Lepisosteus oculatus: one gene and its partners. The protein of the gene in region 2 interacts with the protein of the main gene of each other region in a biochemical or structural test. Links are inferred from orthologs where the notes say so. Each region holds a gene or a part of one and is shown on either strand. Other genes may lie near its edges.

Evidence for each region.
Region 1: the proteins of arf6a (region 2) and 5-hydroxytryptamine receptor 2A form a complex in vitro, tested with the Homo sapiens proteins (2 studies listed by BioGRID). The link is inferred for Lepisosteus oculatus from reciprocal best matches to the Homo sapiens genes ARF6 and HTR2A.
Region 3: the proteins of arf6a (region 2) and cytohesin-1 form a complex in vitro, tested with the Homo sapiens proteins (2 studies listed by BioGRID and IntAct, with this or other methods). The link is inferred for Lepisosteus oculatus from reciprocal best matches to the Homo sapiens genes ARF6 and CYTH1.
Region 4: the proteins of arf6a (region 2) and cyth2 form a complex in vitro, tested with the Homo sapiens proteins (3 studies listed by BioGRID and IntAct, with this or other methods). The link is inferred for Lepisosteus oculatus from reciprocal best matches to the Homo sapiens genes ARF6 and CYTH2.

What each region holds. Positions count from the first base shown.
Region 1 is NC_090710.1:30,783,183-30,791,117, reverse strand, and holds the start of 5-hydroxytryptamine receptor 2A, read right to left. Parts: upstream 3,062-7,935; 5' UTR 2,726-3,061; intron 1-2,725. UniProt on the Homo sapiens protein: G-protein coupled receptor for 5-hydroxytryptamine (serotonin).
Region 2 is NC_090703.1:10,289,505-10,296,914, forward strand, and holds the start of arf6a (ADP-ribosylation factor 6a), read right to left. Parts: upstream 3,245-7,410; 5' UTR 2,799-3,244; intron 2,612-2,798; 5' UTR 1,557-2,611; coding exon 1,029-1,556; 3' UTR 1-1,028. UniProt on the Homo sapiens protein: GTP-binding protein involved in protein trafficking that regulates endocytic recycling and cytoskeleton remodeling. GTP-bound form plays an important role in the transport of multiple palmitoylated proteins form the Golgi to the plasma membrane.
Region 3 is NC_090704.1:41,341,934-41,349,467, reverse strand, and holds the start of cytohesin-1, read right to left. Parts: upstream 3,065-7,534; 5' UTR 2,822-3,064; coding exon 2,746-2,821; intron 1-2,745. UniProt on the Homo sapiens protein: Promotes guanine-nucleotide exchange on ARF1, ARF5 and ARF6. Promotes the activation of ARF factors through replacement of GDP with GTP.
Region 4 is NC_090718.1:355,678-363,900, reverse strand, and holds the start of cyth2 (cytohesin-2), read left to right. Parts: upstream 1-4,957; 5' UTR 4,958-5,095; coding exon 5,096-5,156; intron 5,157-8,223. Other genes in the region: kcnj14 (ATP-sensitive inward rectifier potassium channel 14), read left to right, coding at 919-1,719, 2,328-2,645, 2,889-3,101. UniProt on the Homo sapiens protein: Acts as a guanine-nucleotide exchange factor (GEF). Promotes guanine-nucleotide exchange on ARF1, ARF3 and ARF6. Activates ARF factors through replacement of GDP with GTP.

The DNA of each region.
Region 1 (7,935 bases), on a different chromosome or scaffold from region 2:
ATCTGTCTTGGAACATAAAATAGAAAACATGCATTTGACTGTTTACTAATTATTTTAATTCCATTATTAAGAACATAATGTAATTCTGTATCCTTTTGGTTTGCTGGTGTTTGGCGAAGAATTATACAAAGCACTGCCATCACTTCAGTGAAATCTCTGATTGTTTCTATAAAACTTCTGTGTTTCACCATCATGGCCCCCGCTCCACAGATCTGTACAAATGCCTATGCATACTTTACAATTGATATCAATAACCTTTATAAATGTACCTACATACTACAGGTGTTGTAAAACTTAATTTCTATGCACAAAAGCATCTTCTTAATGAAGGTCTCAAAAGAGTATTGAACAAATCCTAAAACATGGCTTTTTCCAACTGCCTGTAGATTTGCAGATTTACATTTAAATTGATTAAATCTGCAGATTAAATTGCTCATTTAAATTTTCGCAGTTGGAAGTGTTTTTATATTATGAGCTATATCTTCAAGTCTTGTATGCACACCGCTGTCAGATTCGTTTTCAAGATGCCTCTTATCAGTCGGGACCCTTAGACAACGCCAGAAAGTAAAAGTTGCTTTCCGGTCCTATGGACTGCTGATACAGACCCCATGACTGATTATTCAGCTCCGTGTTTTTTTTTTTTTCAGAAAGAAACCCATTAGCTTATGACCTTGGTAGGGACGCCTGGCATTCAAAGTGTACTGCAATTTTGACTGTTCCGTCGATTTATTTGCTAGTACTTTTACAGTTTCGCCACAAAATACATTTTTAATCATTTTCGGTCTTGTGCTGTTCTACAATTACTGCATGGGTATACCATTAACAGCAGTCAGGAGTCATTTAGAGCATCGTGCGCAGCCTGTGTATTTCCCCCAGGCGCCTCTGGCGGGACACAGTGAGTCAGCTGTCACACGTTCACACTTTGACAATGCCTTCCACCCCAGCACCACTTCTTTGCATAAAGAACTGCCTCTTTTTCCAAGCCTGTACACTACTGCACCTGCTTTTTTATGTACAGAATTTGAAGAAACAGTTCTTATGAGATTGTCTATTCATTTTCTAGCTACACATGCCACCTAGAACACACACTCATCCTGTACAGAACTAAAGCACGTGATGCACAAAGAGCTTTTGTATCACTGGAGTTAAATGCTGTCTTTTTACACGTGTGTTTGATGAGTGTTTTTGAAGCTGTGGGCTAGCTGAGCACTTCAAGTACCTCTGCTATGCTCTTTGCAATTGTACCCAATTTTAATGACCATATGAAGATAAATTAAAATACCAGTGCCTATACAGATAAAGAAGAAATACATGGCTTTTGATAACCCTTTGATTTGGAAACAGCTGCCTATAAAACTGGTTAATCTAATCTAGTAAATCAGTACAAATGAATAAAAAAAAAACCCAAAGCAATGAAACAGCTGTATGCCTCAATGTGTCACTGTAAAAGGGCAATTTACACATGTCTGCTTCCTCACATGTAATAAGTAGTGCATATTTGTCATAATATTAATTAATTTTAATGTGTGGGATATAATGGATGAAATATATGAAATATATATATATGATATATGTCACCACTGATGTGCCTACTATTCTTTTAACACACTGAGCAAACTGGAGTGTCTCTTGAGCATCAACGTCAATGCTCTGAGCGATGGGAGGGTGTGTTCAATGTGCTAATCTTTGGCATATCCAAAAATATCTAAAAAAAACATTGCGGGAAAGTGTGATTCACTTGTGACCTACTTTTCATTTCATTTCCAACGGTATGACAACATTCTTCTACATTACATACTGTTGCTAGGAACTAGATTTTTACATTAAATGAATGCAGTACAACACATCTATTGTGTATTGTATTACTTTGCAGGGGTACACTTCCTCCCTAACACATTTCGACCAAATGACCAAACAACATACCACCAATGCACAATGTATTCATAGGAATAATTACTGACATGAGGAATAATCATGCATGAAGCTAAACTGAAAATAAAAAGACACATGGCAAATCTGACAATCAGGATAATATTTCTGAGTAACTCCTAGAGGAAATATTATATATTAACAGTTTAGTTGATGAGAGCTTAGGCTGCTGGTCACATGCAGTACTATATACAGTACAGTAGTCGATTTTTGCACAGTAAAAAGCATCAAGACACACAGTAAATGGTCAGTAAGCATATTGGCAAAATACTCTCATATTGTACTGAATTATCACAATCCGATTATAGTAGTTGATTAAGCAGTAAAACTAGAGGGTGACATCAAAATGTTTTCCATATTTACCTGTATAAGCAAACATCTCACCAACGGTGAAATAATTAATGGAAAATGAAAACACTAAAACAGTAACACTGATTTTAATTTCTCAACACATCATATCAAATCAGTTCGAGTGAACTGGCAATTAAAAAACAGAGGATTAATAATGGAAAACTAATAAAATAGCAACATGACCACACGTAGTTATGTATTTACTGTGGGTCACATTTGCATTCACAGCTGAGAATATAATAATGCATATGTTATTGAAACTTTTAAACAGACAAAAGCATGCATTGCTTATGTAATACTGTAGGCACATCCAGTTTATTATTATTAAGTCTAATGTGATTTGGAAATTTTTAGAAAGTCGGCTCAATACAGTTGTCTGACTTCAAATCCAAACAATTCATTAATAGGGGGCCAACATACTGTCTGTTTTAAGGGTAAAACTAACCTGTCTCACGACGGTCTTATCCCAGCTCACGTTCCCCATCAGTGGGTGAACAATCCCACGCTTGGTGAATTCTGCTTCACAATGATAGGAAGAGCCGACATCGAAGGATCAAAAAGCGAGTTTGTGCATTAATGATTGCTTAACGACTACAGTGTCGCATTGAACGTTTTGCCGTCTTCACTCGATTGATTCGTCTCGTTGAGGAAACGTGAATCACAATAACGAACATTCGTGTATGGCGAGCGAATAGTTTGCGTATCGTACACCTGTTTTTACCAGAATTATCTAAGTATAGTTAAGTGAAACTTATTTCGTCTAGAAAATGTCATGCCGGAGACCCTCAAGGCTACCGTTCGGCCGCACGCGTGGTTAGTCCAGGCGGAAGCGAGGTCAGACCGAGATCTTACCTAATGCCCAAGTTGCGAATGCATGACACTTTTTGTCTTGGTTCAGTCTAGCTGTATTTTTTTTTAATCAAATCCTTTTAACTCTTTTGAACAAGTATAATGTAATGCAACGCCAGTGGAATGACTGTAATACAAGTCACTATTTTCAAACCCGGCTGTGATATTATATTTATTTAGAATACATGTTACTGCTGATATGAACAACAGCTAAAATAAACTGTACCATAGGATATTATCTGGGAAATACTGATATAGCATATGATTTTTCCTATTTGTACTGTATACTCAAAAGCATTGTTTTCAATACTTATGTATAATATATAATATAAATATAATGTAGCCTTTTACCACTGAGATGATACATTTATTAAACTAGAGGGTTTGAGATAATAGCTTTTATTCTCCTTTAAAAAAAAATCACACATATTAAACAAATTCAAGAACTTACTGTATGCACAAGCCCAAGCCTCACTGTAATTTGAAGGCAAACCTACAATTGCTTTAATGAAATAAAAAAAAAACATCAACATACAGTACCTGGCGACAGTTCAGTGAAATGGTTAAATTGACTTCTGAAGAGATTTAGTTTATTAATAATACTTAATGAAACCAAACCAAAGCAGAAACCAGACCAACTGACTAACTGCTACATTATTAATATGTTATACAGTATGTGTGTGCATACAACATATTATATATATTGTATTAATCACTTTTATTCTTTTGTTTAAGGTCTTTTATTTTTTGCTCCTCTATATGTCAGCTTATCTGACGAACAGTGAAATTACCTTTCGCTGATTCTATATAGCAATGTGTTTTTATCTCTGCAGTATAAAGTGTGTCTGTGTGCAAACGCATCAATATCTGACACAGTGGCCATTATGTACTTGATAATGGTCCAGGCCTTTACTGAGCTGTTCTCATTGTTTTCATTATCCAAGAAAAAAACCTTGGCTGTGGAGAAAGAATAATTCAGACAAAGGGCGTCCCCACACTGCCTCCGCTATCTAACTCAGAGGATGAACCAAATAATGAGCTTTAATTCCTATAAAATAGAACATTTTCTACAGAGGTGTACTAACCACTGGTATAGTCAATCAAATCTGTGGAGTTATTCTGCATAGTTACACAGATATGTCACCCCATCAGAGCACACTGATTCTGTTTAAGGTGGTATTTCCATGCAGGGTGCAGGAACAGATAAGCAGGGCGATTCCTGGGTAGTGTGGAAATGTGTCCGTGTTAATGCTTTCTCGCCTCTGGAAAAAGAGTCCATTTCCATCTGCCATGATGTCCCCTCAAATTTTTTGTAACATCTCTGGAGGTTTATATAGTAGAAGCCTGGTTCACGGCTTAAATTAAAGCTAATGTAGAGATGTGTACCGCTCCCGGCTTCCAGAAACTTCAAGCACATGCAGTATTCCACCTGTGTAAGATGTACCGCTGCAAAGATATTTAATTTATAGTGAAATGGAGTTTTGGGGGAATATTCCCTTGCTGTTTTTCTATTTAAGAAGCAATACAAGTTTACTTAGGATGGGTAATAGGTTATAATCAATGGGCAATAGGTAGAAATGAGCACATTTAAGTAAAAAATATGATAAACAGATTTCAAAACGATAATATTAAAAAACTATTCTCGAGGTTGCAAGAGAAAATAAGAGTCTCCGTCTGGCAGCATCAATCACTGAAGAGAGCCTGAAGGATCACTGAAGTCTTCGTTTTTCGTTTTATTGTTATTGTTAAGTTATTGCTCAGTTTAACATTTCTTGTGCATCAGCTCCATGTCATATCTTTTGCAGGCTGTCATCCCATATTAACATCTAATTATCATGATCTTAATTCATTACATTATAATTACAGGCCTGATTGCCATTTCTAGGCTGTCAAGCATGGAAGCAGGCCTCTGACAGGAAAATATTTGTCTAGAATAGAAAAAAGATGGAAATCTGCAATTAGGACAAGGGTCTCATGAATCTGATCTGAAGCAAACAGTTTACCCCATTGTATGAGCAAGAGCAGAAATTAAAATGATATCAGTTTACACTCATCCTGAAAAAGCTCCAACATTATTTGATTCCACCGCGCTTGGGAAACATTTTCTTCAGCTAAATCTTCTGCCCTGTACAGTAGGTGCTCCTTATTTAGCACACTGGAGTGCAAAAATAGTTTCGATCAGGGAGATTTCACTATTATGAGATTTTAGGAAAAACTCCAGCATCCATTGTAAACCACTGCGAAATTCTTTCCATTTAAAAATTATATGAATTCCAGGGACCCTTACAACCATAAATGGAGATGTACAGCAATAATACAATTTTAGGCACAACACCATACAGTACTAGAAATGAACTGGACAGTAAAGATATTGTACATAGTAAAACTGATGTGCTATTTTTGATAATGAGAAGCTAAAAATATAAGAAGAAAATATAAGAGGAGTTTCCTTTAAGATGTGAAAAATGTTAACCAAGAGAAAAGCTTAAGTAAACATCTCAGTTATGTGTTTTCTTCCAATGATCTATTGTCTCAGAAACTGACTTCCACATGAATACAACTTTAGGACCTCTCTTTCTACACTTGTCTTCTTTTGATACCCTTAGATGTAGCACAGGGCAAATGAAAAGCGCCGTAACCGTAGTAAAAAAGCAACACAAAAAACACCTACAATATTTCACCTGTGATTCATATGATTTGTATGTATCACCTTAGTGCTCCTGTCACGATTATAGTCCCCCCTCCTTAAGGGTGCTCCAGCCCTTTCACGTGAGACTTTATTCTATGCACCTGCTCCCTATTCCCAGCCCACCTTAAAAGCCAGGCGCTGACGCTCATCCGGGCTCTGCATCTGATTTCCATATCGTGCGAGTCCGGGACCTGGAAGCGCCTGGTCCCGTTCCCTGTCCGCCGGTTCTGACCCGGACTTCGTGGTTTTAACTTCGTGTTTTGATGGATCTCGTGGTTTTGGACTTTCTCGTGTGTTTTTGGATATTCCCTAAGGACTTCTCTTTTGGATTGTTCGCCTCGGCCACACCTCCCCCGTGCACCAGCGCACCTTGGACACGCCCCCCTGTCTTCTGCCCCGTATTCCTGCATGACGTTTCCCCAGTGTTTCCCCACTCCGTCGGACTGTGTCGTCCGCATAGGGTCCGGAAAGAACTGTTCGTTACAGCTCCTTTACCAGCCACAGAATAAATTAATGATTTTGAAGGACTGGGCAAAGCAATACCCTTTTTTCTTACAGTATCGGCACCTAGACACTCCTGCAAGTAGGCTTCACTGTTTGCAAGTCTGTCACGACGGACTGCGTGGGCGTAGGCTGGCTACTGGGGAGCACAAACTTGTTGTGAAAAATTATGTGCTCAAGTGCTGACAAAGTGACTCACAGCTCAGGTTCAACAACTGGAAGCTTGTCTTATTGAAGACTAATAAAATCTTCATGCACGGGGCCGTTTCTCTAATACAGAGCAGCGCTGCAGAGTGACTTGAGTCTTCCCACAATGCTGCTCCCAGTCAGATGGCATGACAGAAACAATGTGAAAATGCCGATACTTCCCTTTCCCTCCAAGTCATGTGGCTGTTGAACTCTGGTTCTCTCAACAACAGTCAAGAAGGCAAATGCTGACATTTATTCCAAGAATGGAAGGGAAGCTTTTTTGTGTTGATTCCTAAAGTGTTGTCTTCCTAAAGAGACAAAGTGTGTTTGGTTAGATCACAAGCACACATCTTATTTCATTTAAACACCTTATCAACATCACTCATCCCTTTGAAGTACTGTATCAAACTCTTAATTTTAGTGAAGAAACAGCTTCTCGTTTCTGAAAAGATTACATTCCTCTATGACCCTAAGCAACAATTTCAAATCATGCACCACTTCTGAACATGATAAAAGTGCCTAGTCTGCTGTCTATTATACAGCACTGCTATCGTCTTGCTGTCTGATCGTGTTTGATCTCAGAAGCTAAACAAGGCTGGGCCTTGTCAATACTGGGAAAACCAGGTTGCTACTGTACATAGTGCTGGCACTCCAACAGCAGGCAGTCAACCTTCAAACCAGAATTTCTAAACAATCCCATGGCACAGCATATAAAAGAGTAGCTCTAAAAAACATCTTAGATCTCCAGATTCTGATCTGAAAAATAACTAAATCAAACGCTAAACCAAGTTTTGATCATATAAACAACAAATTCAAGGCAGCACCACCTGTATCCAGTTGGCAAGAAGGAGGAGGTGCAGACAGGCTTTTCTGACCTGCGTAGCCAACAACCCATTCATCTTCCCACACATAAGAACCTTTATCTTTAAACTTGCACTCTCTTTCGTTGAAACATTTTGTAGTCCGGTCTTTGAAAAAAACACGTTGGCTTAATTAGACTATACAATGTCACCGAAATGAAATATTGCTTGTAAAGTTTACTTCATCAACCTTTAAGGACCAGAGTTGCTTATCCTTGGCTTAAACGGTTTGATGAAATACATTTTTCCAATAGTTTCAATAGTGTTTTTTTGGAAAGGTCTAAGACAATTAAATTGTTCATTATTCAAATACTTTCCCAATCTTTTTCACATAGTACTAACCCCATGTTCTCGCACGTTTATGTTGAGATCCTTAGAAGCTATTTGCAAGCTTCTTTTAAATTTTTAAGGAATCCAACTTACAGCCTAAGGTACAGTCATAACTCTTGGTTCTTTCTGCCTGTGGAAAGTTTCTGTTGTATTGTGTATCAGTAAACAAATGAAAGCACAGTGACCCTTGTTAGACCAGTGTTTATACACTGCTGTATGAAACCACTGTAGCAAAAC
Region 2 (7,410 bases):
GACTACGGGCCGCGCTCCTCCGCCTGCGCCGGGCCTTCTCGGCGGATGAGTCACTCGCTCGGCCGCCACGCGCCGGAGCGGGGAGCAGCACCGGGATGGCGGAGCGCGCGAGCCCGTCACGGGAACTTCGGCGAAGTCTTCGCGAGGCGCAGCAGTCCGTCACGGAGGGGGGCTTCCGGCCCAACCTAGTTACCCGTGGTAACAACTTCAAGCCTGACTTTTAAAACCCGTGTGCGGCGGGGGGGTCCTTCAAAACAGCATTGCAGGTCACCAATGCTTGGGACGCTCATTTACAAAGGAATACATATATATAGAAGTGTTTTGAGCACTTTGCTGTAGTATACTTGTACCTCGTTCAGCATCTATACCTACAGTAATACTTCACATAGTTGTAACAGAACGGTGCTGCTAAACACCTGGTGGCTCTCTCGGCAATCTTAAATCTGTAAGCTCTGGGCTTAATTCCTTCTCAAAGAAACAGTATAAAATTTAGAGACACGCCGTATTGTTTTTTTTTTCAAACAATTTTTATATATATTTACTATTAGAAACTTCAGGCCTGAACATCGCACACATGTTCGGTATGAATGTAAAAGAAGCAAAGTCTACATCAAGCAGGTTCAGAGAGGCAAAAATGAGAAGTAAAACAGAAAAAAAAAATCCCCGCCCCGCCAAAGGAAATAATACAATAAAACTAAGAAAATTCAAGAGCTTGAGGCAATTCATGTAGTCTGCTTTTTCTTTTAAAAAGTCTCTCACGGGAGTATTTCTTGAGTCACGGTAATCAATAAAGAACGTGATCCAAGGACAGCGCAAAAGCAAAATTAAAGCCAGCCAAATAATTACTTTAAGAAAAAAAATGATTAGTTATACGGGGGTCATATAATAATCAAAAGAAAATGAATTATAATCAAACTTTTTTATTATATTCTTCCGAGAAGCCATGTTATTTGTTAATTGCTTCTTCTCGTGTAAATTTTGTATTATTTTATTTTTTTTGCTTGTTCTAACCAGTCATCATTCGACCATTAAGATTTGTAATTAGAAGTTAGCCAAGTCAGCCCCTCGTACAGTCCGTCACCTGTAGTCGCGCAGGACGGCTGCACATACCAATTCCTATCTCGGATGCGGGTTAAGCCCAGTTTCTCCTGGATCTCATGCGGCTTCATGGCATCAGGCAGGTCTTGCTTATTGGCAAAAATCAAGATAATGGCGTCCCTCATCTCCCGGTCATTAATGATGCGGTGGAGCTCTTGCCTGGCCTCGTCTATGCGGTCTCTGTCCGCACAGTCCACCACGAAGATTAACCCCTGCGTGCCCGTGTAGTAGTGCCTCCACAGGGGGCGAATCTTGTCCTGTCCCCCGACGTCCCACACGTTGAATTTCACGTTCTTGTAGGTCACGGTTTCCACGTTAAAGCCTACGGTGGGGATGGTGGTGACGGACTGCCCCAGTTTCAGTTTGTAAAGTATGGTGGTCTTCCCCGCGGCGTCAAGTCCAAGCATCAATATTCTCATCTCCTTGTTGCCAAATATCTTGGATAGCATCTTCCCCATCGTGTAAACAGCGCATAAATATCCAGTTCCTCTGAGAAATTCAATAAGTCACCTGGACCCCCGTTGTGCACTTGAGACCTAATAAATAAGATGTTCTGATTTTGTATTTCTTTTTACCGAACAGTTCCCGACTTTCAGCCCAAGCAGCCAACTGGTCACGCACTGGTCAATATCCGGTGGGGAGCAAAGGACAGTACATCAGGACAGGCTGAAGTTAGAAACCATTCAATCGCTGGGCTGTAGACGCAGACGGTGTCTCTGCAAAGCGGCAATCCGTCCGTGCGAGATTACTGCTCCCCCAACACTAAAAGCCGGCTGTGCAACTTCTAGACAACATCCGAAAAGAATCCATAACAACAAAGCTGTCCCGTCGGTCGGTCCGTCCCCCCTCCTCCCGGGCTGTCAGATATCCCTTTCAGTCAGTAAAAGGTTTTGCCTTGAACCGAGCCGGGACGCCAAAAGGGAGGCCGAGGTCACAGTTAAAAGACACCGGGAGTGGCGAGGAATCCAGGTGCCGGAAAGAGGTTGACAAAGAGGGTGTGGGGAGGCCGGTTATTTCAAGTCCACATCAAGAGCACACCGGGATCCACTTACGGGTCCGTGTAATGCGGTTCTCCAGTCCCTCGGCTTGCCTTCTTCCTCTCTAAGGCGAGGGCCTACAACACAGACGGGTCCGGCTGGGGGGGGTGGGTGTTGCTCTCCCGGCCCCTCTCTCAACTTCCAGAAGTGAGCTGGCTGAGGATCGGCGCGGCTGCCCGAGCAGGCCTTCGCAGAAGCCTGCGGGAGCTAGTTCACAGACTTCCTCCTGGCGTGCCCGTGTCGAGGTCTCCGCTCGCCCGTTTCTCTCTCTCTCCCCTCCTCCTCCTCCTCCTTCTCCTCCGCCGCCGCCGCCTCCCCTCCTTTCTGAACCGGGTGGGCAGCTCGCAATTTCACCGGCTCCGCGCTTCAGCCTGGTCCGCCCGGGTCCGCCACACTTCTGTCGGAGACGGAAGAGCCTGAGCCGAGGCGACTCCAAAGGTCATTGATTCATTCGAGAGCTTCCTCTTCTCTTCTCCCTGTAACACAAGAGCGGTTGAGAAAAGGGAGGGGTGTCAGGGGAGGGGAAAAAAAACACAACTTTAAGCGCAGCCGCCGCTAGCGTGGTTACGTTTTCCGCTCAATGCTGAACAAAAGCGGCGCCGGCATTTCTGAGACGCGGTTCTCTCAGCCGGTCCCGCCGGTGTCTGGCGTCTTTTTTGTTACCTGCTCTGCGGCCCCCCGATCCCCGGATTGATCCACCCCGCTCTCGCCTCTCTCTCTCTCAGCTCCGAGCGGCTCTCGGCTACCGGAAAAGGTGCGGACCCGATCACCCGCCACTTCCTCTCGCTCGCTTACTTTCAGGCACTTTTTTTTCCCCATTTCCGCCCATTGGCATGCGCAGAGTAGTTACCACGCACCGCCTTTGACGGGGCTCAGAGGCTCAGGAAACTGACGCCATTGGGGCTCCAAACGCGTGCTCGGCGTCCCTCATTGCGGCGCACGGCAGCGGGAGCCAAGATGGCGGCCGCCCGCCAGCGCAGTTTCGGGATGTGTCACCCCCCAACCGGATCTTTCATGTGCAACGATTCTCTTGAATGAAAAAACGCAACGAAGGGGGTTATTGCCTTTGGCGGCAGTAAAGGAGAGGCGCTCGGTGGACGAGGGTGTGAGTCGACAGCCAGCGCTCAAATGTGAAAAAAGAAAGAGGTGGTGCGTTATGACGTAGGCGTCACTCAGTGGGTACTGTGAGGGATTTCAAATAATGCCGCAGACAGGCCACGAGCTGCACGCTTAACTGACAGGGGGCTCGGCTACTCTCGAGGGAGGGCGCTGCCCGTGCGTGCTGACAGGGACACCGCCCCCTCGCTATATTATCACCCCCCGTGTAAAAATAGTTCGTGCGAGAGCGTGGAAGGGAGGTGAAGTCTCTTCCGCCCGGTGTTTGAATCGCGCTTCGGAGGGGGGGTTTGTATGTTATTTTAACTTGGCTCTGGAAACACTTTTAGCTACCGAAAGGGGGGCTTGTCTAAAATAACCCCTTCCTGTCTTCATCCTGATAAAAGTGAGAGCTATTAATTACACGTATGCCTGTGTCGCAATACTGCACCGCTAAAGCTATAATCCTTACCTTGATTATTTTAGGGCCAACTCCACCTAAGCAGCCTTTTTAAGAAAGCCCCAGCTCTGTTCTGTTACCAGCCCATTTTCCGCGCACTCGTTGCAATAGTAGTTTCTAAGACCTGCATTTACAAATGTCTACATTCACGACTTCGCTTTATTTTGCTTGGGTGGTGGGTGAATTAAAACTGCGGATAGATCTACCGAATTGAACGTATACCATGACACACAACTACAGAGTGTAGGGGGGAAAAATACTTCACCGTGTTTCAAGCGTCCTTTTCAAAATGTAATGTTTTCATGTTTGAGTCTACAAACGCCAAACCCCGGAACAACTGTGCTCAGCAATAAATGGTTCTTAAAGTTTCCATAAAAAGGAGTGAAGACAAGCAGTATTACGTTTTAGAATAACGTAATACAGTGTATATACAGTATGTATAACTTAACAGGAAGTCTGAAATGGCCCTAAGGTAATAGTAATATTTAGCGAATTAAGGGCTTCTATACGTTCCATAGTTTCTTGAACATATAAATATAAAGCACCAACTGTTTACGTTTCATAAAAAAACAAGCGTTTCAAATGTGTCTTAAGTTTATGTAGAGGACAGACACCGGCTACGTTTTTTATTAAAAAATGGCTTTAATTTATGAGGAAATGAGGAGACCGAAGAGCTTCGCAGTACTGAGGCGTTTCCACAGACCATCAATGAGTTGAAACGCCTTTACCACACAGCGCTTATTTCCTATTAACCGGCCGCCACACCCTCGTCTTCACATTCAGACACCTTTTGTTTCGCTGGGCGCAATCTGAACCTCTTCCGTTTCACGCTAAACGACAGCACTCGTGTAAAATATCGCGACATAACATAAACGATTGTGGAGATCAATGCAAGCAGTGCTGGGTATGACGAGGGCGAGTCTTTACAGCTTTCCAGCGTTAGACAGTGAAAATGTGGCTGACGTGCGCTATTGTGCGCTTCAGGTCTTTCATGAGCTGCGGAGGCTCGTCCCTGTGCGCGGTCATTCTTTTACGCGTGTGCGATGTTGCAGGAAACCTGTCACATCCTGACACGGATGTCTAGGTGCGAAATAAGCTGCTGACTCCAAACACAAAGCAGGAATGGGACAGAAATGTCATCAGAGCACAATACCACGCAAAGGCAAGTTTCTAACTGCAGAATCATGGATCTGATGGACTGAATTATGGTTTGAGCTTGAGAATGGATTGCAAACCACAATCGGTCCATTTTGCTCATTTGGTAGTTGATCGTTAATTGATCCCAGGATCTCGTCCAGCTGTTTTCGTGAAAGGAGTCAAGGTATTGGCTTCACCAGTGTGGCTTGGTAAAGAAACACCTCCTGTTTTGGGGTTTTAAAGACACTGTTACCTAGTTTCCACCTGCGTCCTCTGGCTGGTATTTCTGTTTACTCCAGGCGGTGAATAAAATAAAGGGCTGTGATGATACCCCACGAACCGCTGATTTTGGTTATCTGAAGGAGTGTCAGGTATTAAATTGCACCGTTTTCTGCTCATACACTTATTTTCGTGTTATCTTCTCTATTCACACCATTCTCCACCCCTCTCCACTTTGCACCTCCTGAGTGGCCTCTCTGCCTCTCCCCTCTCCCTCCTCCTCCACTTTTCCAGCCTGTGTTCTCCTGTGCTTTTTAATCTTTGCCGTCTACCCTGTCTTTCTCACACCCGAAGAAGGCTCCACAGCCGAAACGTTGTGTTTTTCTTCTCTTTCCAGCAGGGAATAAACCCGTTACCTGTTCCTTTGCAGCCTACGCATGCTGACACAGCCCCCTACTCGAACTACTTCAATGTACAGAATATCCAGAACATTTCTCACCAGGCTCTTCTCTCTTGTTTTGTGTTTCCATTGGTCTTCAGCAGTGGATTGTCCCTTGAACGTACCAAAGGTGGACAGAGCGCTGTTTGCCAGGAAGTGCCCCGTCCTCTGTTCCTGAGGAACATTGGCGCTAGCTGTCAATCCTGATGCCTTTCCAGCTTGCTGCTTAATTTCCAGAATCCAATCACTTCCACTCACAGTTTCCAATCCGTGCTGCAGGCCAGCATGACTCAGGCAGTCACTCTGACGTTTAGCTAGACTAGTCTTTCTTTCCACTTTCTTAGACTTTCTTTCCACTGAGATAATTATTTTTAAAAACAAACACAAGGCCTGCCATGCATCTCACACTCGGGCAACAGAAAACACTGAAAGTAAAGGAGAATTGAAACATATTTCTGTTTAATGTCACCAAATTTGAAAGACAAATACAGTGCCATGGAAATTTCTTATTTAGGCCACAGGTGTTTTTGTGTTTTCGATGGACTTCATTATATTGTATTCGGTCTCTGTGTGTGCACGTGCTTTTCCAGGACCAGTTCAGGGAGCAGAATAGAGAAGCACCCGAGCCAGAACATAAGGATCGAGCCCTGGACCCCTGCAGTAGTCAAACCACTGGGGTCACGCGGCTCTCCTCAATCTGTTTGCAGCCTGGTTTCGTTTTTTTTCTCAAACTGCCCACAGAAGGCCTTTGTTTCCCTCACACAAGACAATCAATCGTTTTGCCTCTTGCAAAGACTGCACAGTTGTCCACCACTTTTAAATCTGATATGGCATTAAGTACGTTGAAACAATGTCGTCTAAAGAAGTGGTTCTTTATTCTCAAAATCATTCAATGAAGCTTTCCAGACCTGACATAAATGTGCCATTTTTGCCAAGTGACGTGTGTAACTTCTCTGGGCAATTGGACTGTGATGCGTCTGGCATACATTTCGGAGATATAGCGCCCCCTTGTGGAGTAAAGTGGACATCGCAAGGAATTGTTCATTTCACAAGATAAGAGACCTTGGAAAATCCGAAAGACCCATCAACCTACCTAGTTTCGGACGCTCTGTCTGTGCAGTAGTGAAATACTGTGAATACTAAATAAAGGATTTTTTTACTAAGAATGAATAATCACACAAAAACAAAACGTAGTTTTCCTAAACTGCCATTTATTGCTTAAATATCTGAGCAAATATCTGTAATCAGGCTAAGCACATCAATTACAGTTTCTATATATCGGAACCATTCTGTAAGAGGTAAGCCCCCTTGTGTTTGGGATTACTGCCATCACCTTTCAAGAATTAGATTTAAACCACACATCAATTAACAATATAAGATAATGACTGTCAATGATATGCCAGCAGCCATATCACCCTGCAACTCACAACTGGCAACCCACTGAACCTAAGCAGGTGTGAGCCTGGTCAGTACCTGGAGGGGAGACCTCCTGGGAAAAACTAAGGTTGCTGCTGGAAGAGGTGTTAGTGGGGCCAGCAGGGGGCACTCACCCTGTGGTCCATGTGGGTCCTAATGCCCCAGTATAGTGACGGGGACACTATACTGTAAAACAGGTGCCGTCCTTCAGATGAGACGTAAAACCGAGGTCCTGACTCTCTGTGGTCATTAAAAATCCCAGGGCGTTTCTCGAAAAAAGTAGGGGTGTAACCCCAGCGTCCTGGCCAAATTTCCCATTGGCCCTTACCAATCATGGCTTCCTCATAATCCCCCTCTATGAACTGGCTACATTACTCTGCTCTCCTCCCCACTGATAGCTGATGTGTGGTGAGTGTTCTGGCGCACTATGGCATCCAGGTGGGGCTGCACATTGGTGGTGGTGGAGGGGAGTCCCCATTACCTGTAAAGCGCTTTGAGTGGAGTGTCCA
Region 3 (7,534 bases), on a different chromosome or scaffold from region 2:
GTGTCCTGCCCAAATTTCCCATTGGCCTTTAAGGGCAGTCCTCATTAACTGTGAAACGCTTTGAGTGGAGTCTCCAGAAAAGAGCTATATAAATGCAATGAATCCCTTTATTTAATTTTATGAACCTTCTGTGATGGCGGACGTTGATATCGTTTTGTGAAAGCTGAATAGGGTGTGAAAATGAAGGACAGAGAGGGCGCGGTAAAAGCAGGAGACAGAAGACAGCGTGAAGGCAAAGTGCAGTGAAGCAATGTCATTGTGAGGTGTTTGTAGGGCGAAGCCAAGGCCATACAGGAACCTGCCCTGCAGAATCCACTGGGGGCAAATTTCACACAGAGAAGCACTAAGGAAAAGGCACATGCTCATGTCAGACCTTTACTGTACCAACAGGTCTAATCTAGTCCACAAAGCAACAAGTAAAGGTTGTTTGCTCGCTGAAAAGAAGGAAAAACCCCAATGTTTTGGCTGTCGCGCTTCTTCACACCTGGAATTTCCTTTAACGGCTTGGGGCTTCCAACCCAGAGGTTAGGAGCACGGCTGAGGTTCCCTCGCTGTCCCCGGCTCAGCCCAGGGAAGGAAGGAGTTACAGTTTCTCTGGAGCGAAGCTGGGAACCAGCACCACTTCGCCCGCCGTTGTCACGCAGCTCCTTGTCAAAGCACTCAGAGGCCAGGGCTCCCTCTCTCCGGAGTCCCTCCATTATTCATGGCGAAAGCTGCAGTTATATAACGGCTCTGAACATCAAAGCCCGTCCTCCTCCACTGTGGCACTCAGGCCCACCCTTGCCACCTAGCACCCCGCTCCTCAAACTGCACTCACGCTAAAACACTCCAAAAGCTGCTGGCCGTAGACACACGTCAGCGACAAAGTCTCTCTTCTGCGTCACTAGAACCTCCAGCCTGATTTTTCTGCTGTGCTACAGAGAGTCTGCTCAAAAACTGACGACGAACTGCGGTTGACTGTATCTTAACTGGAAAAACATCACTTGCAAATCTTTTTACATTAAGCTCAGCATTTCATTTTGCAAACCCCTGAATGTTCCATTTGCTAGGCAATGTAACAAACGTGCAAGCTTTTTTTCTCCACTAGATTAGGGATGGTTTTTCTTGATTACTATGATTTAAGGGTGCAGCAACACCAGATCATCTGCACATTCAGAATGAAAGCGCTATAAGACAGGTGGTGCTTAGGAGGAGCAAAGGGGCTGGAACTACACAGAGTGGGCACTAAACTCTCCCACAGCATTCTGGGAAACTCCCTCTGGTCTTGTCTGGCTGGGTCTGGCTGCTATTGAGCGCGTCTTCAGTGTTGAAACAACCTCAATTTGCAGGGTGGCATAGAACTCAGATTTCTCAACACCTGACGCAGCAGAAAAACAGAACACAGCTATCGTGTTCCACATTAATGACAGGAAAAGTGTCTTGCGAGTGCAACCCGTCATTGTGCAACTACAAATTTTTTCATTCAGATTCAGTACATATTCTTAATGAACACAGAACAGCAATCAGCCCTACAAAGACCGCTTCAGTGTCTCTTTTCAAAATTGATAGCACTATGGTCAAACCAACACCTCCAGAAGACACTGAGGATGGGCACACAGCAGTTCCTGGCTAATGGGTGTTGGAATCAGACCTTCTCTATTCCCAGCACCATGTCTTCCTGGTGATTTGCCTGGCTGATGGAACGTGGCGATAACGACCTGTTTTGAGATACTCGTTCCGTGTCAATTGTGAAAGGCAGAATTCCTGATTTGTCAGGTCATCTGAGCTACAGGAGGGACAGGGGTTGAGGAGAGAGAGAGAGACCTGGGACTCTTTCTTAAAATGCACTCCAAACCAAAAAACATCAGCCACAGAAACACACAATGATGCCATTTCAAATTAAGTACCCTTTAAACCCCTGCTGATTTTAAGCAGGGAATGCAAGACAAATGCAATAACAGATAATAAATCATCATGACCATCACAGACCAGTCACCAGCTCAGCAACAGGTGAATGAAAGAGAACTAAACCAAACCAGCATAACCAACTTGCTGGATTTTTCTGGCAGTCGGGTAAACGCAACTAAGCCTGCGAGCAGACAACGCCTGAGGCTGCCCACTGACTTCCACCGATTCTGAGCAACGCTGTGAAAGCAGAACCAAGCTCTTCAGAAGAGGATATCGCATATTAAAACTAAAACCAGGCAGCACAAATGCATGTAGAACCTCTGGAGAGCCTCGGAGAAGGTCTGCATGAGAAACACTCGGCAGTGACCTCACGCAGCACACCATATGGAAACTCTTTGCCACCTGAAAGTACAATCTTTCCACCTCAGAGAAGCACCGACAGCACACACTGTAACAGATCCAGATTCACAGATAAAACACCAGAGAGGGTCAAGCAAATGACTCCGTGGTATCTGGAAGACCGATCATGAGAAACTTTCTGATCTAAAGCAAGAATAATGTCAGCTTGTTCCCAGCTGCTGCCTTGTGGGAAGATAACCTGTGAGTCTTTAAATCACTAAAAAGGTTTCCCAACAAGCCAGTCACAAATAAAAACTTTCCACAGACCTCCTTGAACTCTTTGAAACAACAGCTCACTTCAGTTTTCTGCAAGCGAGGCAGAGCCAGAGACCTAACTGTGGATCTTCTTCACAACTGCCTATTACAACGCAACACAGGCGCCAGAAAAACTACGAGGCGTGCAAGCAAATCACACGTTTTCCAGTCTCCGGAGGGTCCGTCTCGGGAGCCGGTACTCACCTGGCTGGGGTGCGTGGATGCTCGGACAGAGGAAAGCTTGGAAACTGGAGGCACATAGTTCGCTCACCGTCCCCATGGCTCCAGCCCCAAAGCAAGACCCTTTTCAGATGCCCGTTTTCTGTTCAGACTCAGATTTGTTTTTTAAAAACAGGGGAACTTCCCGAGACCGCCTGCCTGCTGAAGATCCCCAGCCCTGAGGACTTCCAGTCCATTTATTAATTTCGCAGAGTTCGCCTGCTACTGCGGCTGCTTCACGAATCCCTTAATCCGCTCCCCAAATAATTCCACCTCTCCTCTGCTGTACTCTCGCTCTCTCTGCTCTGACAGCACTACTCTCAGCTCCGTCTTCCCCTCTCTCTCTCTGTGCCTGCCTCTCTCTCTCTCATTGGTTTGCACAGTAACTGTGAGATATTCTTAGAGACCTAACAGATTACACACATACACACGCACCCTCCCCAGACTCGGTATATAAACATGGGTTTGCAAGATGCAAACCCCTCAGCAACACCTCAGCGCTGTGAGCTGTTACTCTGTCAAGACTGCTGCTGTATCAAAGCGTGACAGAGTTGGGAAAGTGGGTTCAGCCACAGCACAGCATATGCATACACATATATACATGCATCCTCACAGACACACTGACCCTCGCATTCATACACCCACTCAAACACACGCGTGCCCACACAGGCATTGGGAAGCAGCAATAGAGGGGGACCATTGCCAGTCGCATCTCACAATGTGGCCTCCAGCTACTGCATTTTCCATTCAGAAGAACATCTTTTCAAAATACAATATTTACATTTTTTTTCTGCTAAGTCTGCAGAAGCCCCAGAGCTACTCAACCCTGTAACAGAATCGATTCAGAATCCTTTTTTCTTGGCATTTTGTTAATCCTTTATTTAACTTGCTGCGTCGCTGCTTGAGAACACAGTCTTACTTACAATGACGGGCTGGGGAGAGCTCATTCATGCAGCCGGGTGTTTTACTGGAGGGATCCGACTGAAGCACAGCGCTCAAGGGTACAACAGCGGTGTCTCACCTGGGATTCGAACCCACGACCCCCTGGGTCTGGAACCCCGAGCCCAGAACATTGTTCATGTTCATGCATCTCACAGTGCAGTTTTCCTCTGTGTTGTCTGGGGGGAGGTGGGGAATTCTGTTCTATTGAGGCCATTACTTGAGCCAGTCCCAAAACAGCCCACACTCGTGACCTCTCAAAACACTTGCTTTCATCTGCTGTAAAATCAGCCCCTCACCCTGCTTACACGAGCAACGTGCTGCAGCCTTTCCAAAGACGTCCACCCCTTTCTGAAGAGAGCTTTTCATCGCAGCCTTAAGTGTACCTTCAGCGTCTCAGCCTGTTCTCCTGCTGCCCACTCAGGTTTACACCACCGACTGCAGCACGCCCATGAGCGCGCAAAACACTTCATTCTCCTGACAGTGCACTCAGGAAAGACTGTCCCCCCCATTAAGCACAACCGAAGATTTTATGATTGAATGTCGTTCATTCCTGAGGTGTTCCAACGAAAGGGATACCTAACACACCGTGCAGCGCTGGAATTGCCCAAACCCATCTCTAGCTCTCCCTTTGCAGTCAGCTTTCTCTATCTGAAGCTTACTTGCTTAGCTACTGTGTACAGAGTATTCTATAACACAGCTTCTGAACTGAACACTGTAGCACAGGCTCAACATTACTATAAGATTCACCGAGCCGCAGGTCTGATGAAATTGAAGACTATATTATTATCATTAGTGATCAAAATCTGGTGACCTCTAATCCTCACTCATCATGTCCAGTTCTCCTCTGGTTATTATTATTGGGAGCTTGAATCCCATGAAGATAATGGGTCACCGATAATGCACTGCAAAACGGACACACTTTGTCAGACCATATCTAATGGATTCCCAGTTTTGCCAAGGCAGAACCTTTTAGTCTTATCCCTTACAAACTTCCTAATCACTCCAAAATGTCTGTAACTCCAGTCCGCTCCCCATTCCTGCTCTCCGGCTCTTCCACAGTTATTCCCAGCTCAGCAAGCACCTGCAGTGAGGTTGGTCACTTTCCCTGCTTGCCCCTCAGGCTGTACAATCCTGGTCTCGGAGGACTGCTGTGTCTGAAAGTTTTCTAGGGGGCAATTAAAGCACTAGTAGCTAAAAAAGCTAGGGTTGTTGCTAAATTGGTCCCATTAAGCTAATCGTGAGCTGATTGGTGTTGTCAAATGATGGTTGCAAAGAAATCTGTGCACAAGAAGGCTTTCAAGGACCAAGATCGGAGATCCCTGCCTAAGAACGATGCACTGTGGTATGCTGGGGGGCATTTTACCCATGTAAGATCCCATGCTGCAACCGATTCTGTTGAATTAAAGCGAATGCTGACTTGAGAAAAACCTTTGCTCTCCACAGCCTGCTCTGTCTTTCCCCTTTATCTCCCCGTTTTTCCATTCTTCCCACTTCCTTCCTTCCAAATGCCGATTACCCCCACCCCGCCTTCAGAGGAGAACTTGCAGCCGTTAAAACGGATCCACTCCACAACCGCTGCGGTGAGGGTGGCACGGTTACCCAGCCAGAGGCCAGCGCGTAACAGAAGAGGGCAAAGGCAGCAAGCACAGTTTAAAATGATACGACAGCTTGGGTCAAACGCAGTTTCCCTCTGCCCGGTCAACCGAGCTCGCTGTCTCCATGTTGGCCTCGTTCCTGCTCCCCCAGTGACACGGCCCAGAGCCTACAGCTCTGTCACGCCCTCGTTATTTCCGCAAGATGCCTATCCCTCCTTCCCACCCCGGATTTACTGCGCTGCCATCGTCTTTTCCAAGCCTTCTTTCTCTCCGTTTGGCAATGCACAGCCCTACCCGCGCTTTTGCCTTATTAAGTCTTTATGTACTGCATCAAGTCCACGCTGTTGCATGGCAACAGTGTTACATAAATTATAAAGGTTCCTGTATGAGAATTTGCCATTTCTGTAAAGAATGAAGTGATTCATAGGCACGCACACACACGTGCAGACATCTATGACACGTATGGAGCCCCTCCACACACACACACACACACACGGCTCACTCACACACGGCTCACTCACACACGGCTCACTCACACACGGCTCACTCACACACGGCTCACTCACACACGGCTCACACACACACGGCTCACACACACACGGCTCACACACACACGGCTCACACACACACGGCTCACTCACACACGGCTCACTCACACATGGCTCACACACACACGGCTCACACACGGACACCCACGTACTATGTGTATACATCCTGAGAGAGAGGCTTATCAGGTCTTTCCATTGCTGAGAGAACTCGAGGCTCTCACTGTACAAACGATAAAGACTAATATGTGGCCTCTTTCAGTTTTTAACACCATTAAAAAAAAAGTTTCCAAAGAATGCTAAAGATTTGCCAACCATTGAGAACAACAAACAGAAAACCAGCCCCCCCCATTCACCCCCTACAAAAATAAGTAATAAAGAGAAAAAAACAGCTTCTGGGAGCCTGATGCCAGGACGTCAGGTAATTCACACTTTTTTTAATTTTACATGTGCCTGCAGGGAAGAGATTCGACCTCGGGGGATGGAAAAAGAAAATATTCTAAAATTAAAAAATAAAAGATACTGATGCAGACAGAAGATTTCTTCCAAATTCAAAGAAAACCAAAGCCCCAGCACCCACAGAGGAAAAACAGTGCCTGTTCACTTTCTCTCCCTCCCTAAGGCTGTTATTCTTCCCTGGCACTCTGAAATTAAAGAGCCCAGCTAAAAAATATACATATGGAAATTGTGACTTAAGCAAAAGCTGAAAGAGGTGATGCATTGGAAAAACAGACCAGTGTGTTGTGGTGCACTACACTATTTGTAAAAGCTACAATTCAGAGGCCAGGGAGCCTCTGTAGGTGATCCACAGCCCCAGGGGGAGGCAGGGGTCTTGCTGGAGCTAGAGGCATGCTGAAGAGCTGAGGTTACAGTTGCTGTAGACTGCCAGGAAACCCCACAGTTCTCCTTGGGTAGCTCCTAGACCACCTATGAAACATGCACCTCATTCTAACCTGTATGGTAACAGGAATTCGCCCTTCATTAACGCTCAGGCATGCACGCCTTCGCACATGAAGGCCAATTTCAATGTAGACCTCCTTGTTTCGATTTGTAGGTCTGAATTCTTTCCCTTTCCTCAATTCCCTGACAAGCAGCTGCTTTCCAGTCCGTTTTTGGATTTTCCAACATTTTCAATGTGCCAGGGTTTTTCCTGCTCTTATCATAATGCATTTTTATGTATACCGGGGTCTCCAACTCTGGAGATCCCCAGGCCAGTTACTGCGACACTTCACGCTCAATCACCCTGTTAAATAAAGATGAGGAACACTGATCAACCAAGCAAGTCATGTTTCAATGAAGGGAAAACTCGTCCTTTAAGTGTGAAGGATATCCTAACTTAAGTTCCAGCTGATCTAAAAAATGACTGAATTGAACACACCACCAGTTTAATTGGTCCGGGCCTTTTACCTATAGACTCTGGCAGACTGGGACACCCAAGGTCCAGGGTTGAGATTTCTGGTGTCCAGCTCATAGCTGCCCTCATTCGTTCCCAATCATCCCCATGATGATTTTGCCCTCCCCAACATGAGAAAGCCCCCTTCAGCCCCCCTCCAATGTTAAACGTCCTCCCTGCTCTGCTGAGGCCACCCCTGCACCTCAGTGCACTGACATAACGAAACGGGAAGAGCAACTCTGTGAGAATCAGCTCTGGTGTGAAAGACAGGCCTGCCTGAGCTCAGACACTGGCGGGTA
Region 4 (8,223 bases), on a different chromosome or scaffold from region 2:
AAATCCCGGAGGATCTGCGTCTGCTGCTTTCCTGGGCTGTACCGCGGGTTTGGGCAGATCCATGAAAAACATCCGCCCGTCCCTCCGGCGCTGAGCCATTCCTGGGATCCGAGAACTTCCCACCGGGGGAGGAGTCCAGTTCTCTGTCTCTTGTCATTGCCCACCAGCTGGAGGTCAGAGGTCGAGGGTCAAGGGCTGCCTGCGTTCCGGGGCGCGGCTGAGCTCGGGGGGTGACTCCTGGGGGTCACTGCACTGCCCCCCCGAAATCCGCCAAGGGAGCGAAGCTCTAGAAGAATCGTTGAGCATCGTGGGACTCATTCTTACGGATCAAGTCTGATCCGCCCCAGGAGCGGTTCCCGGTATTCCCGGGACAGCGCTGGGGGCTTCTTGCCGAGGAGGAGGAGCTCCTGGGAACCCGTGCCCCACCCTGTGCAGAGCGCAGGTCTCCTCCAGAGGACACGTTCCCAGGATTCCCAGGGGAGATTCCTGAAGAGCCTGGAGACACTCGGGGTGTACAGCCTGGACCCAGGGGACCCCTTCTCAAACTCGAACCCCAGTTTAAAAGCAGCGGTTCCGGTTCTTCTCGGGTGGTTCTTCTCGGGTCTGTCTGTCCTGCTCTGCCAGGCGGGGTGAGGTCGGGATCAATCGGGGCCGAGCTGTAACCAGATCGATCGGGGCGATCGGTACAGCCCTCTGGCCCGGGGGGGTGCGAGACAGCGCGGCTCTCGGGGGGGAACTCTGGGAGATTCTCCACCCGCTGTAGCGCCCTCGTCTGGACACGAGTGGTACTGCTGAGGAGACTCCGAGGGCTCGTGCGTCGGGCGGGGCAGGGGGGCGAGCGGTGTGCGCTGCGCTGTGATCGATCTGCGCGGGGTAACAGAGGGAAGTCGTGAGAGAAGCTCGACCCCGGGGCCGGGCATGGGGGCCGCGCGGGTCAAGCGGCGCTTCAGCGCGGTGGTGGACGGGCCCCTGGAGGAGGAGGAGGTGATGAGGCTGGCGCAGAGCGCGGCGGAGCCGGGCGGCGGCACGCCCACCAGCCCCCCGGCCCGCAATGGCAAGGCCCCGCCTCCCGGGGGCGGGGCGGCGGGGCCGGGGGCGGGGCCGGGGGCGGGCCGCCGCCGCCGCCCGCGCAGCCGCTTCGTGGGCAAGGACGGCCGCTGCAACGTGACCTTCGTCAACATGAGCGAGCGCGGCCAGCGCTACCTGACCGACCTCTTCACCACCTGCGTGGACATCCGCTGGCGCTGGATGTTCGTGGTCTTCTCGCTGTCCTTCCTGCTGTCCTGGCTGCTGTTCGGCTTCTCCTTCTGGCTGATCGCCTCGGCGCATGGTGACCTGGCCCCCCCGGCGCCCCCGGCCCCCGCCGCCACCCCGCCCGAGCCCTGCTTCCTGCAGGTCAACAGCTTCATGGCGGCCTTCCTGTTCTCCCTGGAGACGCAGACCTCCATCGGCTACGGCTTCCGCAGCGTGACGGAGGCCTGCCCCCTGGCGGTGCTGGCCGTCGTGCTGCAGTGCATCGTTGGCTGCATCATCGACGCCTTCATCATCGGGGCGGTCATGGCCAAGATCGCCAAGCCCAAGAAGCGCAACGAGACGCTGGTGTTCTCCGACTGCGCGGTGGTGGCGCTGCGCGATGCCCAGCTCTGCCTCATGTGGCGCGTCGGCAACCTGCGCAAGAGCCACCTGGTGGAGGCGCACGTCCGCGCGCAGCTGCTCAGGGTGAGAGGCAGGGGGCGCCATTATGAGAGAGACGGGGAGAGACGGGGAGAGAGACAGGGAGAGATGGGGAGAGAGAGAGACAGGGGGAGAGAGACAGGAGAGCGTCACTCAGCCAGGCTGTGACATCTGGACTGCAGGCTGTTCCCTGTAATCAGCTTTTGTTGTTTTCTCAGGATTTCTGAGGTTTATGGAGGATTAATTTAGTGGCTTTGAAAAGTAAATCATAACCCCATCACTCTCAATAACTATTTCCTGTGAGTGTCTACTTCACAATCAAGTCTACTGTAGTGTCCAGTCAGTCAGTGTCTCTGTGCTGTAGTGTCCAGTCAGTCAGTCAGTGTCTCTGTGCTGTAGTGTCCAGTCAGTCAGTCAGGGTCAATGTGCTGTAGTGTCCAGTCAGTCAGTCAGTGTCTCTGTGCTGTAGTGTCCAGTCAGTCAGGGTCTCTGTGCTGTAGTGTCCAGTCAGCCAGTCAGTGTCTCTGTGCTGTAGTGTCCAGTCAGTCAGTGTCACTGTGCTGTAGTGTCCAGTCAGTCAGTCAGGGTCACTGTGCTGTAGTGTCCAGTCAGTCAGAGGGTCAGTATTAATCCATGTCCTCGTCTCTCATTAGCCTCGGGTGACCCCAGAGGGGGAGTACCTGCCCCTGGACCATGTGGACATCAATGTGGGCTTTGACAACGGCACTGACCGCATCTTCCTGGTGTCGCCGGTCACCATTGTGCACGAGATCGACGAGGACAGTCCGCTGTACGAGATGGACCGCCGTGCGCTGCAGGACGACACCGAGCTGGAGATCGTGGTCATCCTGGAGGGCATGGTGGAGGCCACTGCGATGACCACTCAGTGCCGCAGCTCCTACCTGGCCTCGGAGATCCTCTGGGGACATCGATTCGAACCCGTGCTCTTCGAGAAGAAGAGCTGCTACCAGGTATGAGAGAGAGCTACTGCCCTGTAGTGCTGTAGTGTCCAGTCAGTTAGTCAAGGTTACAGTGCTGTAGTGTCCAGTCAGTCAGTCAGGGTCACTGTGCTGTAGTGTCCAGTCAGTCAGTCAGTGTCTCTATGCTGTAGTGTCCAGTCAGTCAGGGTCACTGTGCTGTAGTGTCCAGTCAGTCAGTTAGTGTCTCTGTGCTGTAGTGTCCAGGTGGTCAATGTCCAGTCCTCTCTCTCGCAGGTGGACTACTCTTATTTCCATCGCACCTATGAGATTCCCAGTACGCCCAACTGCAGCGCCAAGGAGCTGGCTGAGAGGAAGTTCATTCTGAGCACCAGGGCCTCCTTCTGCTACGAGAATGAGGTGGCGCTGCTGAGCCATGGGGCTCTGGAGCAGGGCTCCACCACCGAGACCTCCCCCGATACTGCCCCCCGCACTGCCCGGGACCACTGAGGGAGAGGAGAGAGAGGGCAGAGAGGGGAGAGGGGAGAGGGCAGAGAGGGCAGAGAGGGCAGAGAGGGGAGAGGAGAGAGAGGGCAGAGAGGGGAGAGGGGAGAGGGGAGAGGGGAGAGGGGAGAGGGGAGAGGGGAGAGAGGGGAGAGGGGAGAGAGGGGAGAGGGCGGAGAGGGGAGAGGGCAGAGAGGGGAGAGAGGGCAGAGAGGGGAGAGAGGGCAGAGAGGGGAGAGGGGAGAGAGGGGAGAGGGGAGAGAGGGCAGAGGGCAGAGGGCAGAGAGGGGAGAGGGCAGAGAGGGGAGAGAGGGGAGAGAGGGGAGAGAGGGCAGAGGGGAGAGGGCAGAGAGGGCAGAGGGCAGAGGGCAGAGAGGGGAGAGGGCAGAGAGGAGGGAGAGGGAGAGGGAGAGAGAGGGGAGAGGGAGAGAGAGGGGAGAGGGGCAGCAGTGCGGGGAGGAGACGGGAGACGGGAGACCGGAGACAGGAGACACCAGCACTCAGCTTATTGGACTTGGCGATCGAACCCGAGCTGCACTGACCTGCTGGAGGAGCCAGGGAGAGGCGCCCCCTTGTGGAGACTCTGGGCAGCACAATCGCTACTCAGATGTCAAATCCAAATAAAACTCCAGTTCTCAACACTCTGTATTCTCCTCTCTTCTTACTAACACATTCCTTCCCCTGACCCCTAACCCACTGAGCAGGACTGGACTGGACTGAGCCCTGTCCCCTGAGCTGGACTGGACTGGACTGGACTGAGCTCTGTCCTCTGAGCAGGACTGGACTGGACTGAGCACTGTCCTCTCAGCAGGACTGGACTGGACTGGCCCTGTCGTCTGAGGAGGACTGGACTGGACTGAGCCCTGTCCTCTGAGCAGGACTGGACTGGACTGAGCCCTGTCCCCTGAGCAGGACTGGACTGGACTGGACTGAGCCCTGTCCCCTGAGCAGGACTGGACTGGACTGGACTGAGCCCTGTCCTCTGAGCAGGACTGGACTGGACTGGACTGAGCCCTGTCCTCTGAGCAGGACTGGACTGGACTGAGCCCTGTCCTCTCAGCAGGACTGGACTGGACTGGCCCTGTCCTCTGAGGAGGACTGGACTGGACTGAGCCCTGTCCTCTGAGCAGGACTGGACTGGACTGGCTCTGTCCTCTGAGCAGGACTGGACTGGACTGAGCCCTGTCCCCCAAGCTGGACTGGACTGGACTGGACTGAGCCCTGTCCCCCAAGCTGGACTGGATTGGACTGGACTGAGCCCTGTGCCCTGAGCTGGACTGGACTGGACTGGACTGGACTGGACTGAACCCCGTCCCCTGAGCAGAACTGGACTGGACTGAGCCCTGTGCCCTGAGCTGGACTGGACTGGACTGAGCCCTGTCCTCTGAGCAGGTAGACTGCTGTGTTTATTATTACATGGCGTCTTGCAGTTTGGAGACGACCTCCTTCTTCCTGAACTGTAATTTCTCGAGTGTCCCACTCGATGGTGACATTGTTCAATTATTTAATTTTTAGATATTTAATGATTTAGTTTGCATTAACTGTATTTAGATGTGTCTGTTTTGTAAAATATCTGTAAGTGCCTGTAGATTTTTTTGTTAATTTTATTTGTATTGCTTTGGCAACACCGATTTATTCATTGGTCATGCCAATAAAAAAGCATCTTGAATAGAACTGAATGGAAATGGAATTAATTCAATCGGGTTGAATTACAAAGCAACGCCGCCATCGTGTGGTGGTTTCTAGGAAAGACGCCTCCACTCCCTGCGGAGCCGACATGGCGGCAGTTTCCTGCTCTCCAATGGGAAAAGGAGGAAACTCGGGAATGTCCCTTCCCAAGATGGCCGCCGCCCCTCGCCATTCCGAGACGGAACGCGGGACTCCTCTTCCGTCTTCCTTTGTCTGAGGCGACGGAGCTGCTGTTGTGCTGCGTGTCGATGGTGTTGGTTTTTCTGTGAGAGCAGCGGTTTCCCGTCGGGAGCAGCCAGTCCGGCCTGTGGATGAGATTCGAGCCCGTGGGGTATCTGCAGGAGCCGCTGATCATGGACGAGATGGACTTCAGTAAGTGACCAGTCCGGCCTGCTGGCTCTGAGCACAAGCAGGCTACCATCGGTCACAGCAGAGGCAGGACCGACACAACCCTCTCGGGTCGTCTCTGGGCTGCTGGGTTATATAAGCAAACACGGTGGATACGACTGGGAGATCTGGTCTGTGTGTCTTTGCGTGTCTGCGAGTGTATCTCTGCCCCTCTGAGTGTCTTTGGGTGTCTGCAAGTGTATGTCTATATGTCCCGCTGTCCTGTCTATTTGAAATTTGTGTCTGTGAGGGAGGGAGACATCATCATCATCATCGATACCGTGTCTGTCTGGTCTTTCCGGTCCTGAGGAATACTGGGAATGTTGCACATGTGAGGAATGTCACTCTGATGCCCTGGAGACAAGAGTCAGGAGTGAGAGAGGTGTGAGTCTGCAGTGACTGACTGTAGTGTCCAGTCAGTCAGTGTCTCTGTGCTGTAGTGTCCAGTCAGTCAGTGTCTCTGTGCTGTAGTGTCCAGTCAGTCAGTCAGGGTCACTGTGCTGTAGTGTCCAGTCAGTCAGTGTCTCTGTGCTGTAGTGTCCAGTCAGTCAGTCAGTGTCTCTGTGCTGTAGTGTCCAGTCAGTCAGTCAGGGTCACTGTGCTGTAGTGTCCAGTCAGTCAGTCAGTGTCTCTGTGCTGTAGTGTCCAGTCAGTCAGTCAGGGTCACTGTGCTGTAGTGTCCAGTCAGTCAGTCAGTCAGGGTCACTGTGCTATAGTGTCCAGTCAGTCAGTCAGTCAGGGTCACTGTGCTGTAGTGTCCAGTCAGTCAGTGTCTCTGTGCTGTAGTGTCCAGTCAGTCAGGGTCACTGTGCTGTAGTGTCCAGTCAGTCAGTCAGGGTCACTGTGCTGTAGTGTCCAGTCAGTCAGTCAGGGTCACTGTGCTGTAGTGTCCAGTCGGTCAGTCAGGGTCACTGTGCTGTAGTGTCCAGTCGGTCAGTCAGTGTCTCTGTGCTGTAGTGTCCAGTCGGTCAGTCAGGGTCACTGTGCTGTAGTGTCCAGTCAGTCAGGGTCACTGTGCTGTAGTGTCCAGTCAGTCAGTCAGTGTCTCTGTGCTGTAGTGTCCAGTCAGTCAGGGTCACTGTGCTGTAGTGTCCAGTCAGTCAGTCAGTGTCTCTGTGCTGTAGTGTCCAGTCAGTCAGGGTCACTGTGCTGTAGTGTCCAGTCAGTCAGTCAGGGTCACTGTGCTGTAGTGTCCAGTCAGTCAGTCAGGGTCACTGTGCTATAGTGTCCAGTCAGTCAGTCAGTCAGTCAGTGTCTCTGTGCTGTAGTGTCCAGTCAGTCAGTCAGTGTCTCTGTGCTGTAGTGTCCAGTCAGTCAGTCAGGGTCACTGTGCTGTAGTGTCCAGTCAGTCAGTCAGGGTCACTGTGCTGTAGTGTCCAGTCAGTCAGTCAGTCAGTCAGTCAGTCAGTCAGTGTCTCTGTGCTGTAGTGTCCAGTCAGTCAGTCAGGGTCACTGTGCTGTAGTGTCCAGTCAGTCAGTCAGGGTCACTGTGCTGTAGTGTCCAGTCAGTCAGTCAGGGTCACTGTGCTGTAGTGTCCAGTCAGTCAGTCAGTGTCTCTGTGTTGTAGTGTCCAGTCAGTCAGGGTCACTGTGCTGTAGTGTCCAGTCAGTTAGTCAGTGTTTCTGTGCTGTAGTGTCCAGTCAGTCAGTCAGTGTCTCTGTGCTGTAGTGTCCAGTCAGTCAGGGTCACTGTGCTGTAGTGTCCAGTCAGTCAGTCAGGGTCACTGTGCTGTAGTGTCCAGTCAGTCAGTCAGGGTCACTGTGCTGTAGTGTCCAGTCAGTCAGTCAGGGTCACTGTGCTATAGTGTCCAGTCAGTCAGTCAGTCAGTCAGTGTCTCTGTGCTGTAGTGTCCAGTCAGTCAGTCAGGGTCACTGTGCTGTAGTGTCCAGTCAGTCAGTCAGGGTCACTGTGCTGTAGTGTCCAGTCAGTCAGTCAGTCAGTCAGTGTCTCTGTGCTGTAGTGTCCAGTCAGTCAGTCAGGGTCACTGTGCTGTAGTGTCCAGTCAGTCAGTCAGGGTCACTGTGCTATAGTGTCCAGTCAGTCAGTCAGTCAGTCAGTGTCTCTGTGCTGTAGTGTCCAGTCAGTCAGTCAGTGTCTCTGTGCTGTAGTGTCCAGTCAGTCAGTCAGGGTCACTGTGCTGTAGTGTCCAGTCAGTCAGTCAGGGTCACTGTGCTGTAGTGTCCAGTCAGTCAGTCAGTCAGTCAGTCAGTGTCTCTGTGCTGTAGTGTCCAGTCAGTCAGTCAGGGTCACTGTGCTGTAGTGTCCAGTCAGTCAGTCAGGGTCACTGTGCTGTAGTGTCCAGTCAGTCAGTCAGTGTCTCTGTGTTGTAGTGTCCAGTCAGTCAGGGTCACTGTGCTGTAGTGTCCAGTCAGTTAGTCAGTGTTTCTGTGCTGTAGTGTCCAGTCAGTCAGTCAGTGTCTCTGTGCTGTAGTGTCCAGTCAGTCAGGGTCACTGTGCTGTAGTGTCCAGTCAGTCAGTCAGGGTCACTGTGCTGTAGTGTCCAGTCGGTCAGTCAGGGTCACTGTGCTGTAGTGTCCAGTCGGTCAGTCAGTGTCTCTGTGCTGTAGTGTCCAGTCGGTCAGTCAGGGTCACTGTGCTGTAGTGTCCAGTCGGTCAGTCAGGGTCACTGTGCTGTAGTGTCCAGTCAGTCAGTCAGGGTCACTGTGCTGTAGTGTCCAGTCAGTCAGGGTCACTGTGCTGTAGTGTCCAGTCAGTCAGTCAGTGTCTCTGTGCTGTAGTGTCCAGTCAGTCAGGGTCACTGTGCTGTAGTGTCCAGTCAGTCAGTCAGTGTCTCTGTGCTGTAGTGTCCAGTCAGTCAGGGTCACTGTGCTGTAGTGTCCAGTCAGTCAGTCAGGGTCACTGTGCTGTAGTGTCCAGTCAGTCAGTCAGGGTCACTGTGCTGTAGTGTCCAGTCAGTCAGTCAGTCAGTCAGTGTCTCTGTGCTGTAGTGTCCAGTCAGTCAGTCAGTGTCTCTGTGCTGTAGTGTCCAGTCAGTCAGTCAGGGTCACTGTGCTGTAGTGTCCAGTCAGTCAGTCAGGGTCACTGTGCTGT